Linked DNA regions of Nothobranchius furzeri. The protein of the gene in region 1 interacts with the protein of each later gene in a biochemical or structural test. Links are inferred from orthologs where the notes say so. Each region holds a gene or a part of one and is shown in the gene's direction. Other genes may lie near its edges.

Region 1 (7,787 bases):
AAGCTGAAATACCACAGCTTTACCGAATAGAAGCAGTTTTCTGTCTTTGTAGAAATAACTGACCATTAACCTTCACGCTACTCTCTCTCTCTTTCTGAACAAGTCATTAACATGTCTGCTAAAAGGTTATGATAGAAAATGTCTGGTTTGCTTTGAAACCAAAACCCAGCTCATGCACCTGCTCCTAGGTCACATGCTTGATTTCATTTCTCCTCCATTTGTTCTCGTTCCTTTTGTCATTAGGGACATTGACAAGGTGGACGACCTGATGCAGGACATAACGGAGCAGCAGGAGCTGGCCCAGGAAATCTCCGATGCCATCTCCAAACCTGTTGGCTTTGGGGAGGAATTTGATGAAGTGAGTGACGCTTTTGATCGGGTCTGAATATCAATGCTTTAATCACAATGTGCCCTGCACCCTCTGACTATCTTTCTCAAATTCTGTCAACTGACTTTAAAAAATGGGTGCCATGTAACGTAATAGACGTGTTTTACCGGGAGCGTTAAAGACACAAAACGCCAGCAAAAGCGTTCCACGATCACAGGAGAATTGCAGAACCACACGTGATTTCGACAATTCACGCGATAACAAAATAGAAAGAATAGAAAGCAGCATGCGTCTGAAAAGATTTGGTTTATTTTCTGTTCTGTCTGCCTCGGCTACGGAGGTTTCACAGGTAGTGACGGACTTTAGTACTAGCAACTGGAAATCTAAACTTGACTTTTATTTTGAAAGTGTCCAGCTGTTTTGCACTGCTTTTCTGTGTGACTTCCTGTCTGGCCTGATCTAAACTCAATGGCTTAACCAGAGATGGGAAACTGTGGCATCAACAAGTCATCTCCATATTTTGTTCTGCTCAGCAACAAAACCAGGTGATTTTAGTCAGCACAGTGAATGAACCTGGTTTTGTTGCTGAGCAGAACAAAAACACGACATGGAGATGACTTGTTGATGCCACAGTTTCCCATCTCTGGGCTTGACGCATTTTGGAAGTGTAGTGCGTAAAAAAAATTAAAAAAATTTTAAACGATTCGAAGCGTAACGACCTGTCCGTTCACTTCTGGGACGCGTCCAAAATGCGTCACTTTGCAGCCGATGGAAACACACCCATCGACTTCAGAAACGTTACACGAGGCTTACGCGTCGATGGAAAGTTCCAGTAACTACAACTTTACTGTACTTCTTTGCATCAGTCTGACTTTTAATAATTTTTCCTCAAAAGGATGAGTTGCTGGCAGAGCTAGATGAGCTGGAACAGGAAGAGCTGGACAAGAATCTGCTGGAGATCGGGGGACCAGAGACCGTCCCTCTCCCCAATGTGCCTTCGACTTCACTACCATCCAGACCCGGTGATTTTTGGTTTCTATTTGCATTGCAGCCCTTTCTTTTTTTCACCTCAGAGCTCTTAATGTCTCATCCTCTCTTAAACAGCCAAGAAAGAGGAGGACGAGGATGACATGGAGGACCTGCAGCGTTGGGCTGAAGCCATGTAAACAAACACCGCATCACTCACATCGTACTGACATCAGAGAGGATGAAACGAGGGGAAACGATGAAAATGAACTGTTGATCCTTGAGTGTTTCCGTGTGTTTGAGGAGAGTTGACTTTGTGGAACACTACAAATAAGCCACAATGCTGTACTTTTATTTTTTTTACCCCCCAAAAAACATAGAGACCTGCAAGTTTTCTGTGCAAACGAGAGTCTCTCAAATTCACCTGTTAGAAAACACCTACTTGTGATAATTACTATTACTACCCCTTACTGGTCCTGGAACCAGTCTGGAGCAGGTTGGTGGGAGGGGCGTTCATTTAAGCACAGTTGGTGTTCTGTTAAATTTCTGAACAGGAGAAATTTCTTAGAAGCTAAAGCCTCAAAGATTTGTTTCCAACCCATTTGTTTATGATATTTGATTTGCTAAAAAGTGTTTCATTTCTTTTCTTTTTTCTTTTTGAGAATAATAATAATCTTTGCTTTGTTTAAGTAGCTTTTGGGATTGACACACACAGTGGGTGAGGAAGTTGTGGAGCTGTGTGTTTGCTAGAATTTGAACCTCTCAGTTTTGTTTCTACCTGTTTTACCTCCTGTCGCCATTTTTTGTGACGTCTCCCTCCCTTTGAAAGCTTTCTCACCAGTGGTTCTTGCTATTTGGTGTAAATATCTCAAATGTGTCACCCTTTTGTACGTCATTCTGTAATTCCGCTGTTGCCGGGAGGTTCAGTTGAAAGTGTGAAGCATGCAACCATGGCGAAGTCACAATACAGATCACACTGCACGGCTACGAAGAGAGACATCTGGCCTAATACTTTGATCCTGCTCCGTCTGTTTTTGTCCTCATGAGGTTATTTTTTATTTTTATTCGATATCATTAAAAGAGAAAAGATAAATATATTAAACTATTGTCACACCATATTAATTGCAACAGTAGAAAGATGGTTTATAAAAAAATATAGAATTAAAGTCAACCCAGAATATTTGCATTTTGCATTTAAATCATTTAGGTTTTTGAAATCACAACGTATGTTTTTACATAGTAAAAGAAATGCAAAAGGACAGATGGACAAGCATGTTTGCATTTCTATGTTTTATTTATCCAAATGAGAATATTGTTTGCAGAATCATTAAAAGGTTTTCAATTATTTTTACTGTTTTTGAATGTTTTAAATTTTTCATGTGTGTCTACTTACACAAAAAACCTTTTTTAACCAGTAAAGGTTTCATAAAGTGTCATGACTGTAGTAACTGGACCTTTTCTCTAATTTACACAATTAAAGACGAGTTAGGATTGCATTTATAAATAGGCTCATTTTATTGGGGTATATACTCTAAAATAACTCAAATATTAACTTTTATTCTAGCAGCTTTGGATGCCAGAATTTCTGTTAAAAATATGACAAAATGTCAATTTCAGAGTTGGTCACTTAAAATAGATACTTTATGAAATTATAACAATTAACACTGCAAAGGGATAAGTGTGAGTGTGTGTGGACGAATGATACACTGTAGTGTAAAGCACTATGGAGGCCTCTGACTCTGAAAGACGCAGGTCATTTATCGTAAGCAGACGAAAACCGATAGATGGATGAAATATATTAAGTAGTTCACCTGTTAAGAGTAACGTGAGAAGAAAACGTATACCCATAAAACTCCACTGTCGCATCTGCCTTCAGCTGTGATGAAATAGGAGACAACGTAGAGTTAATAACAAGCTTTTACTTTTTTTAATTCACTGTTTTGTAACAATTATTTGCCGTACAGTGTCGATCTTGAACACTACTCAGGTGTCATGCCGTGTGTCGCAAAGTAAGTGCGTAACGCGACTTCACGCCTGCGCAGTGAGGACCAACGCTGATGCAAGAAATATTTCGGCGCAGAGGTGTGGAGCTAATCGAGTGATTCGAAGTGGTCTGACTTCTGTGATTTTTGGCTGGCAAACATGTCCGGAGACGAGGTAGATTATCCTACATGATCTGTTGTTTTTTCCCTGTTTGTTTTGTTGTTCAAGGGAATTTTCCGACCAGCTCGGTGTTGAGGATGACTTTGGGCCTCGGCACAGCTAGTTCTTTCCTTGTCCGCAGCAGCAGCTCTCACATGGCCGCAGCAGGGCGAACAGCGGCCTGAGTTGTCATATTGACAGGAAAACATTGTCCGTGCTGTGGTTGTCACACTAGTTCACATTTATATTCATCATAGTAACTTCATGGTCACAGATCTAAGAATCAAGCAAAGGCTTAAGTTAGCTAAGTAGCTTCTTGAAACTGAGGCTAACCGTTGATTTATGTTAGCAACTACGAGCTAGCGAGAATTAGCTCAGCAAAAATGTTCTGGTAGACACTTTATTACAGTTAATAAAGAAAGACGTGATGTAAACCATCCATGTAGACATCTCTGATTTGTTTATTCTCAACTAATTATCACAAATAATACACTGCGTTTTACATTAGCTGTGTTAATTTGTCATGTTATGACATGCCATTTTCTCGCTTTAGTCTGTGTGTTGGTTTTGGTCAACCGTGTTTTTAGACCCATTATTTGTTTCTTTACAGAATGGATTAAGGAAGATAAATAAAATATTTAACTCCTGGTTGACATTTTAGAGTATATTTATTTAAAGTGAAATAAAATTTGCACATGTATCATTGAACCCATTTTTCATTTCCCTTTTAGATGATTTTCGATCCCAACATGACCAAGAAGAAGAAAAAGAAAAAGAAGCCCTTCATGCTGGATGAGGAAGGAGGAGAAGGGGTCGCAGGAGAGGAGGCTAAAGAGGTGGAGGCGAAGGAGGCTGAGCCAGAGGTTGGAGACGACAAGGAGCTGGATATAGATGAGGATGAAGGCAGGAAAAAAGGTAAGAATGATGACAGGCGTTTCCCTTTGTTACTCCTCCTACAACACAATTACATCAGTCTGAAGCTTTTTGTGGTTTCTTTGTCTTCTTTAGAACTGTCAGATGATTTGAATGACCTGAACTTCTTCAACCAGAAGAAAAAAAAGAAGAAACCTAAGAAAGTCTTTGATAATGATGTAGAGGAGGGGTTAAAGGTCAGTCAGTGCCACACTTTTTTACTTCTCTACACCTACTGACCCTGGAGTTTATATTTCTCACATTGTCAATACTTTATTATTGTTATTATTATTATTAAATTTCATAATTTTCTGATCCAAACCAGGAGCTTAAAATTGAAGGGGAGCAGACGGAGGCCCCGGAGGAGGACAGTCTGGATTTGATGCTTCCCACCAAAAAGAAGAAGACAAAGAAAGTAGATTTTGATGAGGGCGAGCTTTTGGAGAAAGATGACGGTAAAAACTGAAACTACAGAAATTACTTTAACATAAGGACCAATAGGATATTAGTGTAAAATGGGTTTATTTTCTATTTGTAGCACTGGAGGATGAGGAGAGCAAAAACAATGATGGGATTTCATTCAGCCCCTCCACTGGTCCTGCATGGGCCGGCTCAGAAAGAGACTACACGTATGATGAGGTAGATATTTGTTAATATCTGCCCCTTACACTTATTTATACGGCTCTGTCTTCTTAAAACAACCTTTTCTTGTTGTTGTTCTGTAAATGTTAATGTAAAGCTTGGCTGGTAGATCTCATGTCTGTTTCTGTTTCAGCTTCTAAACAGAGTTTTCAACATCATGAGAGAGAAGAACCCGGACATGGTGGCTGGAGAGAAGAGGAAGTTTGTGATGAAACCACCTCAGGTGGTCCGAGTTGGAACCAAGAAAACCTCCTTTGTCAACTTCACAGACATCTGCAAACTGTGAGTCTCCCTGGCAACCAACCCTTCTGAATGAACTCTACTGGGGCTTTTCTAAGTGTTGTACTTTCACTGATGCAGGTTGCATCGTCAGCCTAAACATCTCCTTGCTTTTCTACTTGCTGAGCTGGGAACAAGGTTTGTTTTTTGTTGTGTGTGTTCACAAGTTTGAGAAATGGTTTTTGTCATTGAAAACAAAAAGAGTTTTTATTTGGTCTTATCTGTTATCAGCGGCTCGATAGATGGAAACAACCAGCTTGTGATCAAGGGCAGATTTCAGCAGAAACAGATAGAAAATGTGTTGAGAAGATATATCAGTAAGTTTGGCTTTTTTCTCGTTTATTATTAAGTTGACTGTAATTTTACACTTGTGTACACACACACTCATATATCATTAGAATGATGCCCCCAAATCGATAACTGAATGACATACGCTTTAGATTTGGACCTTGGTTGTTGTATTGCTACTGATACCAGTCTTCTCGCTCCTGCAGAGGAATACGTAACCTGTCACACCTGCCGCTCTCCAGAGACCATCCTGCAGAAGGACACTCGTCTATATTTCCTGCAGTGTGAGACGTGCCACTCCCGCTGCTCTGTTGCCAGCATCAAGACTGGCTTCCAGGCTGTGACGGGCAAGCGGGCGCAGCTCCGCGCCAAAGCCAACTAAAGGCCATGAAAAGTGGGCTCCCTCTCTCCAAAGCTGGGATCGGTCGCCCCCTCTGATTTAAATAAAAGGACTCTCTGAATCGAACTGCGGGAGGGTTTGGTTGTTTAGTGGTTGCAGCCTTTACAGGCAGGAAGTGAAAGAGGATCTAAGTCTAACTGAAGAGGTACAGATGCTGTAAGCAGATGACGTTCTCCAGATTTACTGTTGGATTGAATGCATTTGGTTGCGTGGCTGACAAACCCTCTGCCTCCCAGGTTTTTTTTTTTTTTTCTATTTTGCTGTGATTTAATCTCTTGAAGAAAACCCCACAGGTTGTCAGGTATTTTAGTTTTTTCATTTTACACATACCAGTCATGAAGACTAAAAACATGTTTCCGTATAGCTAGTCAGATTGCGTCAAGCTAAAAGAGTCCACATGAAGAAAGCTTAAATGCTTTAATTGTATCCATGGCCCCTACTTAATTCTCCAGCTCTTTGTTGCTAAACTAAAAATGATTTTTCTTGTCTAGCACAAACATTACATTTAGTGCTAAAGTTTCACAGACTTGCTTGTGGTTTTACAGTAAAATGTGTTGAGATCAAACCGTTGGGGCTCAAAAGGAGGAGGCCAAGGTTAAAATGGCTGATGTGAGGTGTAAAACAGAAATACAAACTGTTTTTGAGTGCTTTTGTAGTCTTGATTTCATAAAACCAGTGACAATATTTCTATCTTACTGATTTAATTAAAGCCACTTGGGAAAAAATATTTTTTGACATGAAAAGTAAGTTTTCTTTATCTAATGAAAGTGCCCCATCATTAAAAAAAAAATAATAAACTGGGTTGAATCTGTTTCCACCACAGTCTCTCCTGGATTACAAAAATGCAGTTCTATGATGGTTGTCATGTGATATTAGTTCAGCTTTTTTTTCTTTTGAGTATGGTCGCTAAGGTCTGATGAATCAATTTAAAATCTGGTTTTTACCTAAATAAAATATTCTACTTCATTACTTTTTCCCAGTTGTGTCCATGATGTGGTAGATACAGAGTTTTATGTGGAACCCAACCCAACATAATCTTGCTAGTTTATGTAGGTGTGCCAGTGTCTAATTCAAGGGGTCATTGTATTTTGGTTTAGAAGGGTTAAAATTTGAAATTTACTCATTAAAATTCATTATCCAACAATATAAATGCAAACATTGTTCATGTTGAAGCTGATATTAAATTAATTTCAAATTAAACAACCAAGTTTTTCTGTAATTTTAGCATTCATATGGTGGCCAGAAAAGGCACGAAAATTAATATAAATGACTAGGAAAAATAAGTTTATGATTCGACATTTTTCGTTTCTCTTTCTAAAACAATTTAAACTTGTCAAGTGGGGCTTTTATTTTGAAGTTCCATTACTGGTAACGTCATTCCGTTAACTTGACGCTGATTGGTTGGCTAAGTGCCTTAGTGCGCGAGCCGAAGCCTTCTTGAGGGGTGAGCTTGTAAAGTTAGCATCAGAAGCAGAACGCTACATCTTGTGATGACCGTACAATAACGACGTTTTTTTTTGTGGAAAAATATAACAAAATGCCTCGAGTTTATATTGGACGGTTGAGTTACCATGTCCGTGAGAAAGATATCCAGCGATTTTTCAGCGGTTATGGTAAATTAATGGAAATTGATTTGAAAAATGGGTGAGTTTTAAGTGAAATATCGAGTGTGAGGTTTAGCTTGCTAAAACGTTTCAGTAGCCAATGTTGCTCCAAGAGCTTTTAACCATTTATGCAATTTTGTTGTGATTCAGTAGAAAAATTGGTTTCCATATCAAATGTGCTAAAAGTATAGATGGTAATTTCTTGCTAGGTGTATCATGTTTAGGT
Region 2 (7,905 bases), on another chromosome or scaffold:
CAGGGAAGGAGGAGGTAGAAAAACTGAACGAGGAGGACTTTCACTTCCACAGGGTCCTTATTCGTGCTGCAGGGATGGTTCTTTGATGTTCCTTTGTTGGTGTGTGTCTTCCGTGAATGTTCTGTTGTGTGAAAATGTGTGTTGATCTCAGTTTATACAAAATCATTTATGTGTTGTTAGTTATTTATAATTGTAAATACATATATATTTGTAGATGATGTGTTGTTGAACCAAATTTGGTACATTCAGTTTCAAAAAGGCTTTGTTTAAGAAAAACATGGAACCAAAACCTCATGAGAGAAAAGGATAGAAGTAGATTTTATGCAATGAGAACAGTTTTAAAATCCGCTGTAGTGTTCTTAAACCAGCATCAGTATTTGTTCTCCTTTACAAGACCTCAGGCTGGTTTTCAGTACTATGTTCTAATGCTGCACAATACAGCTGAGGTCGTTTTATACGCACTAGAGTCTAAAAGCCACTAATTCCTGCACTTTCCAAGGAAGTCTCTGCTAAAGTGTTAATAAAAACAGAATGTGACCAAGCTGATTCATACCGTTCCTGGTAGTTGTGTGAAGTCTTAAAGCCGAAACAAAGGCGTGATGTTCTATGAAGCAGGATGAGCTTACAGAGTAAACGTGGCTCATTTGTGTTCAAACCAAAAGCATAAAAAAAAGAGCGTTTGCTTTATATTTAGAGCATCTTTATTTTGTTGACAATATTTTACAGGGTCAGAGATTTACCCTTCACAGGTTTCCACAACACAGACTTCAGCTTTACAGCATGCGATGCTCCAAACGACGTCTACAGGTGAGCCGTTCACACAGAGGGCTTCTTTCATTTTACTCACAAACAACACGTTTATTATTCATAATTACTTTTTTTTTTCTTAAGACTTGTCTGTACAGCGACACGAGAAGACGTTCAGACTTTTCCAGCACAGAAACACAATCACAGATCTGGAGGGGAAAAATAACTTTATAGGGAGGTGTGAACGTGGCCGGAGGCACGGAATAAATAAGACGTTGAGTGTTGAACCACGGGGGGAGGGAGGGGTTCACTCAAACAGCAGGTCCTCGTCCGTCTCCTCCGTCAGCATGTTAGCCGGCTCAGCGATGGGACCGAGTGCAGCCAGCCGGGCGGCGATCTCCCGTTCTGTCCTTTCCCTGAGCTGCTTCTTTTTCTCCTGGATTTTCTTCAGCCTGGCACAGCGGAAAATAACAGGTACTGTAAATGTGAAGCTTCAGAATGGCCAAACTAAAGAGTAAGTCACCCCCCTACCAGAGCCTTACTCCACCCACACTTCTGGTTTCAAAAATGCACCAAAAGGAGGCGTTGCCTGATGGGGTGAGAGGGCGGGACTGCAGCCTGAACTGACTGGTTTTTTGGAGGAGGTGAGCAGCCCTGAGGCATCGGCTTGTGAGTTGCCAAGGCAACCGGTGCAGAGCCTGCTGGCGGCATAGCTTACCCAGAAATTCGGCTGGTATTAGACCCCACAGTGGTACCCTTTAACCAATAGCGATGGCTAACTAATTCAAATGGAATGCAGACTATTAACCTGAAGAGGGCGCTACACCAACAGTTTTAGGTTGAATATTTAAATAAGATGCACCAAAAACCAAAAATAATGATTACACATGACTCTTACAGTAGTTGACTTCCTAACCCATCAGATCCTTTTACTAATGGTTAAGGAATCCGATGCAGCTGCTCTCACCTGTAGAACTCCTCACGCTCCCTCTCATCCAGCTCTGTGATGATGTAGGTGAGAGTGCGATCAATCCTGGGAATAATCACTGCAACGGAGAGTAAAGATGGTTAAAAACACAAGCATCTGTAGATCTTTGAACAACTCGTTTGTTTACCGTGCTCAATGGCATTCACGCGGCGGTTAGTGATCTTAATGGCTTCGTCCAAGGTGACAAATGATGTCTGTTAAAAAAATATTAATTTTTATTCAAAATTAAATATATATATATATATATAGATATTTTGCAAATATGGCAGAAAAATACGCCTTAAAAGCCATAACAGCACCTGTAAGGAGGCCAACTCCACAAGCAGCTCAACAGCTCTAGCATAATTCCTCTTCAGCCGGGAGAGCTGTTCACCTCCTCGGGCTAGACCGGTGAGTTCATAACCTGACACACACACACACACAAACATGCTGAGCTTTCTGAGGTTCACAGACACTAATCCAAATATGATGCATGTCTGAAAAGTACAATTACACTACTTACTGTCTCCACCTTCTTGGTAGTGTTCAAACACTGGAAGGGTGACACCTGAAAAGACAAATTCAGCATGAATAGTTGTTTCCCATCAATTACAGTGATGATGATGATGATGATGATGGGAAGATTTTTCTGACCCGCCACATTATCCTTCTTGGCTCGAACCTTGACCTGGGCTTTGTTCACATTCTGGATTACAGTTGTGCTGAAAGAAGATGAAAAGTTGCTGCGCACGTCTAACAGACTCGATAAAACACGGCTGTAACATTGTCATTACTCTTACCTAAAGTCACCAGCTGCAAATTTGGCTTCAGCCAATGAGAAAGCTGCTTCTCTCATCACCTCTCCCATCTTAGTTTTAGTCTAAAAGAACAGAGAATAAAAGAAAATTCCATTATTAGGTGTTTTTCTATTATGTGAGAAATAATGCAAGATTTAAATAGTTGCTCTAGTTATTTTAGTGTCAAATTGGCTGGAGTGAAGAAAGAGAAGCAGCAATCATTAAATGTTCTGACTGACTTCAATAATTTTACGAAGGATCTGACGGAAGCGCATCGAGAGAGCGTCAGATTTCTTCTTGAGCAAACTGCGGCCAGTTTGAGCCCCTTTCAGTCGAGCCTTCATGATGGTCTGGGCCCTGCAAACACACAGATGACATTTATTTATAGATTCAGACCTGATGTGACTACACAACCACCTATTGTACATTTTTTAAAGTATTTGTCTAATTATTTTTCTCTGCATGGTTGGCCATCCTGAAAGACAGATACCCACTTTTCTTTTTTTACACATGAATATCTGAGTGAGTTTTTCCACATAAACAAACAGGTGACGTGCAGTCAGTTTGGCTTTAAAATTAGAACTAGACCTTCCTTGTGGCTTTCATGAAGCAGGTACAGACTCTGTTCACACTCAGATGTTAGAAACATCACATGACACAAAAATAGCGCTTCCTCTTTTAAACAGCAGACTCAAACTATGAATAAAATGTATCCGCAGTGCAGACGCGGTCCAATTAAGGTAAATAAATGCAGAAAATTAATTATCACGGCATCTGGAAAGCTAGAAAAATAATGTGACATTTAATGGGGGGGGGGGGGGGGCTAATTTGTTAGCCAAGAGAAAAGACGATACGATAAGAAAAGACGATACTTACATTCTAGACGGGAATATGTCGATCCTGTCCTTTCCAGACATGTTTTCGTCTTTATGTTGACCGATCTACTTCTACGCTTTAAACTTAAATATTTAACTTTACTTGTAACTATAACGAATCGTTTGAGGTTAATATAATATCTCAAAAAAGCTATAATTCGAGCAGGATTAGGTGAACGTAGCTAGCTAATGGTCGTGATCTTGTCCGTCCGTAATGATCAGCTGACCCCAAGTCATGTGACACAGCCGTGAATTTACACATGCGCAGAGAGGTACTCTCTATTAATTCTTTCCGGGGCAAAAAAAAATTGCACACCCATGAATGTGAGCTAACGGGTCTGAGAATTTCATCTAAAAGCAGCCGAAAGAAAACATAGAGAAGCATTTAAACACGCCCATCATAAAATTCCAACTTTATCATTCTGTAACTCCATGACACAGGTGAGTTTTCGCTGACAGAGAAGATATTTGAAGCGACGAAGAGACTGCTAGCTAAACGTGTAGCATTGGCAGCCGCATGTGATTTGGAAACCTTAGCCAGGAAGCTAACACCTTAAAATGTCTTTTTCTGCTTGTAATGAAACCGTATGTTATCTCTTAGCGTTTTATTCATTATCTATGTGCTATAATGTGCCTTACTACTAGTACTAATGTGCTGTAATATTTTATTGTCTGTTTTTAATTCCATATGTTCAAGCCAGTTTTTTGCTCTTAAAAAAAGTTGTGGACGTTGCATCATCCCATTCATTCCTAGACTAAAATTTTGAGGGGGGAAAAGCCTAAAACTACGAATCTTTTGAAGAACTGTTCTGAATTTTATTTATTTCAAACGGGTCAAATATTAATGCTGAAATGTGAATACTTGAAATGCTTGTTCTATGCAATAATCCCAACATTTTGCTTTCTGCACAGGGTTTTCTGCTAATGAGGGTGCTGATTGTATCAAGAGCCGTGCATTATTTATTCTTGATGACTTGTGCAAATATCAGTATTACATATTAAGTCTTTTTCTGTTTCTCTGAAGCCGCAGATTGTTAAGTTCAGATAAGGTGCTGTTGGCTGTTAACACCTTATTCTTCCTAATAACCCCCTCAAAGGGTTATTAACAAGTCTCCTGTAGAAGTGAATTGTGCTTATTAATATTGGAATGTTTTACTGGTGACATAATATTTCACACACTGTCAACAGATTAATACCAATAGAATAAAATCATCAAACATTCTCCATTAAACAAAGAACAACATAGAAAGGTCCATTGCAATTGAGGGAAATAATTTTGTTACAGATTAGTGGTGATAAAAAGTCAAATGTTCTTTGAAAGCTGAATCTCCAGTTTGGATTAAAGTGAATAAACCAGTAGCATCAATATGTGTTGGCGTTTAAATGAAAGTAAACTTGATCTCTTCAAACTGCTGCAAGTAAAATGTTGATCTTTGATGAAAGGTTTTTGGAGTAGATTTAGTTTTGTGGCTGCTCTGCCCATCCATGAACTCAAAAAACTTTATTAAAGTCAAATTTACAACAGCACTACAAAATATTACATATTTACATATTTTTCTGCTTTCACTCTTGAGAGGCTAGCGTTTTATGTATTATCAGAGTGACATCCAAATAGTTTGTTTAATGCTTATTTTTCAAACTAAATATGTACCCCCTTATTCTGTTCACATCTTCACAGCAATGCCGGGGCTTAGTTGTCGGTTCTATCAGCATCGCTTCCCTGAGGTGGAGGATGTGGTGATGGTGAACGTGAGGTCCATCGCTGAGATGGGAGCCTATGTCAGCCTTCTGGAGTACAACAACATCGAGGGCATGATCCTCCTGAGTGAGCTGTCCCGCAGACGTATTCGCTCCATCAACAAGCTCATCCGCATCGGTCGCAACGAATGTGTCGTCGTCATTCGAGTTGACAAAGAGAAAGGTGAGAGCTGCAACTTGAAACGTAACATTAACAGATAAAATTATCCATAAGATATTCTTGTTTTAAACACACTATAGAAGGGGTTTTCAATTATTTTCTGTCATATAAAATTATTTTATTTTTTTGCATAAGGGCTGCAGCTATCAAATATTTTCGTATTCGAGTATTCTATCGAATCATCCATCGATTAATGGAGTATTCTATTTGACGGCGTTTCAAGTGAAACGAGATTGTGGTCTGCTGCCAAAATAAAAACGCAAAATTATAAGAGGCTCAACAAAATATATTAAATTGGTGTTCCCTATTTCCCAGCTGATTTTTATAGTTAAATATTTTATGGAACAATTTTTTTTAGGTTTCTATTAATATCAGTAAAATATTCACAGTAGAATTATTCATTTCATTTACATGTTCAGTAGTAAGTTACTGGAAATGCTAATAACATTTCATTTGTACTTGTGGCGTGTGTCTCTTTATATATATATATTATTATTATTTATTTATTTTTTACAGGTTGGCAACGTAATCTAGTCTACATTGTGTTCAAATATGTAAGCGTTTGTGAATTACATGCTACAACGGCTTGCCATTGCGCTGCTGCGGTGTATGGAGCAGACTCGTAGCAACAACCAGACTCCAGGGAGCTGCAGCAGTTCTGCACCACACCGCTGTAGACATCCACACATAAACAGGATGGTGGAGGTTTTTCTTCCACTTGTGGAGTTTAGTCGCTCACAACCATCATGTTTTTTTCTGGACCACACTTGCTCATGAGAATGCTACCCGCTAGCTTAGCATTAGCAATTCTGCTCGTAGTTTATTCTTGACCCCAAACTTAGGACTGTTTCTGCCTTTTACAATGGTTTGTCTTTGCTGGTTTCTCTATTTTTCCTCCACAGCACCTAGATCACCACGTAGTGCACCAGTAAAATGTGTTCAGACCAGGGACATGCAGAGACCTTTGAAGGGGTGGGTGCTCAAATTCAAAAAGGGGGCACATAATAGGGATGCAACGATACCACTTTTTTCCAAACCGATACAATACCGATACTTGGATCAGAGTACTCGCCGATACCGATTACCAATACCGATACTTCTACCACACAAAAAAATGCAATGATTTGGAATACAGATTTTACTTTCTTCTCTGCTTTCAACAGGAAAAGACTGAGGTAGGTAAAAAGTAAAATATATGAATGGAAATATCACAAAACTAAAATATTAGGTGAACAGAAATGACAAGTTACAGTGAAGCCATTTTCAAGCAACTGCATTGGTATCTGTTAACTTTTACCGATACTGGTATTGGTATCTGTATCGATGCCGATACCGATACCAGTATTGTATCGGTGCTAGGGTTGTCACGATACTAAAATTTCAAACTCGATTCGATACTTGAAAATATTCGGTGCTCGATTTCGATACTATTTAAAAACACCAATTTATTGAACAAGTTTATTCAAAAAATAACATTCCTCAATTTATATTGCAAAAATTAAATGTTAAGAATTAAGTGTGTAAAGTGCTTAAACCTTTCAAGTATCAGCATTTTTTAAAACGTGCATACAAAAACTGGCGAAAGTTACTTTAAATCATGAATTGCCTCACTATATATACACTATTTGCAGAGTGATGTTTTGCTGCTTAAACTCTGTTTAAGGTGCATTTTTGTCATAAGATGTAATGCCATATGTTTTGTTCTGTACTTTTGAACAACTCTGTTGGTCAATAAAGGGAGAAAATGAATTTCTCCACAGTAGGACAGAGGTACATCTACCGGTAATCTTAATTAAAAACAGATTGGCGCACGGCAGAGACGTCATTAAAAGCGCCGGTTAATTAGCCGCGGCTAGTCTGTTTACGCCTAGAAATCCCAGACCCGCTCCAAACGAACAGGGGAATCATGTCAATGATTCCTAACAAAACCTTTCGACATTGAGATGTTTTGGTGCAGATAATGTCTTATTTCAAGGCTGCACCATAGGTGCCCGTCCGCACCCGTTATATGGATATATGCTGACGGCGATTCGCCGATGGATCTAAATACCCCGGGGAATCCAAGTAGCACCAAAGTTGTCAGCGTGAGTAAACAAACGTACTGCATGCTAGAAATTAAGTCCGGGTTGCAATAAACGGGAGTTTCCTTTAAGCACATAAGCGTGAATATACAACTATGTGTCGGACTTGGTATGCTAATTACGTTGGGCTGTGAAGCGCCTCCCAAATTCGCTGTTTATGTTTTTGTTTATTTATTTGGCAGACAAAACTTGGATCGGAGACAACTCACGTGGGAAATTACAATGTAGCCATGTGGCGTCTTCTTCTTCTGTTTGTCTGGGAGGCGGAGGCTGCTTTACGGCGTCTGGCTGTCGTGCGTGTCGGTTAGGGCTGCAACAACGAATCGATAAATTCGATGAAAATCGATTACTAAAAGCGTTGGCAACGAATTGCGTCATCGATTCGTTGTGTTGCGCAACTCTTCCAAAAGCCCCCTCCCGCCCGCCGTTGCGCGCAGACCGGTGGAGAGCCAGCAGGTGTTTGTAAGAGGAACATGGCAGAAGCAGCGAGACCCCCAAAAAGTAAAAACTTCTAAAGTTT

What was found. The genes of interacting proteins can lie anywhere in the genome.
Region 2: the proteins of eif2s2 (region 1) and eif2s1b form a complex in vitro, tested with the Homo sapiens proteins (2 studies listed by BioGRID and IntAct). The link is inferred for Nothobranchius furzeri from reciprocal best matches to the Homo sapiens genes EIF2S2 and EIF2S1.

What each region holds. Positions count from the first base shown.
Region 1 is NC_091755.1:32,893,450-32,901,236, forward strand, and holds eif2s2 (eukaryotic translation initiation factor 2 subunit 2), read left to right. Parts: upstream 1-3,293; 5' UTR 3,294-3,436; coding exon 3,437-3,451; intron 3,452-4,167; coding exon 4,168-4,351; intron 4,352-4,444; coding exon 4,445-4,545; intron 4,546-4,673; coding exon 4,674-4,803; intron 4,804-4,886; coding exon 4,887-4,987; intron 4,988-5,123; coding exon 5,124-5,272; intron 5,273-5,350; coding exon 5,351-5,407; intron 5,408-5,500; coding exon 5,501-5,586; intron 5,587-5,763; coding exon 5,764-5,939; 3' UTR 5,940-6,926; downstream 6,927-7,787. Other genes in the region: charged multivesicular body protein 4b, read left to right, coding at 244-358, 1,224-1,350, 1,433-1,494; srsf6a (serine and arginine rich splicing factor 6a), read left to right, coding at 7,495-7,601.
Region 2 is NC_091742.1:8,438,638-8,446,542, reverse strand, and holds the start of eif2s1b (eukaryotic translation initiation factor 2 subunit 1b), read left to right. Parts: upstream 1-3,662; 5' UTR 3,663-3,827; intron 3,828-5,064; 5' UTR 5,065-5,066; coding exon 5,067-5,307; intron 5,308-7,905. Other genes in the region: atp6v1d (V-type proton ATPase subunit D), read right to left, coding at 1,055-1,199, 1,715-1,793, 1,863-1,929, 2,035-2,138, 2,238-2,282, 2,369-2,436, 2,515-2,594, 2,751-2,868 and 1 more. UniProt on the Homo sapiens protein: Member of the eIF2 complex that functions in the early steps of protein synthesis by forming a ternary complex with GTP and initiator tRNA. This complex binds to a 40S ribosomal subunit, followed by mRNA binding to form a 43S pre-initiation complex (43S PIC).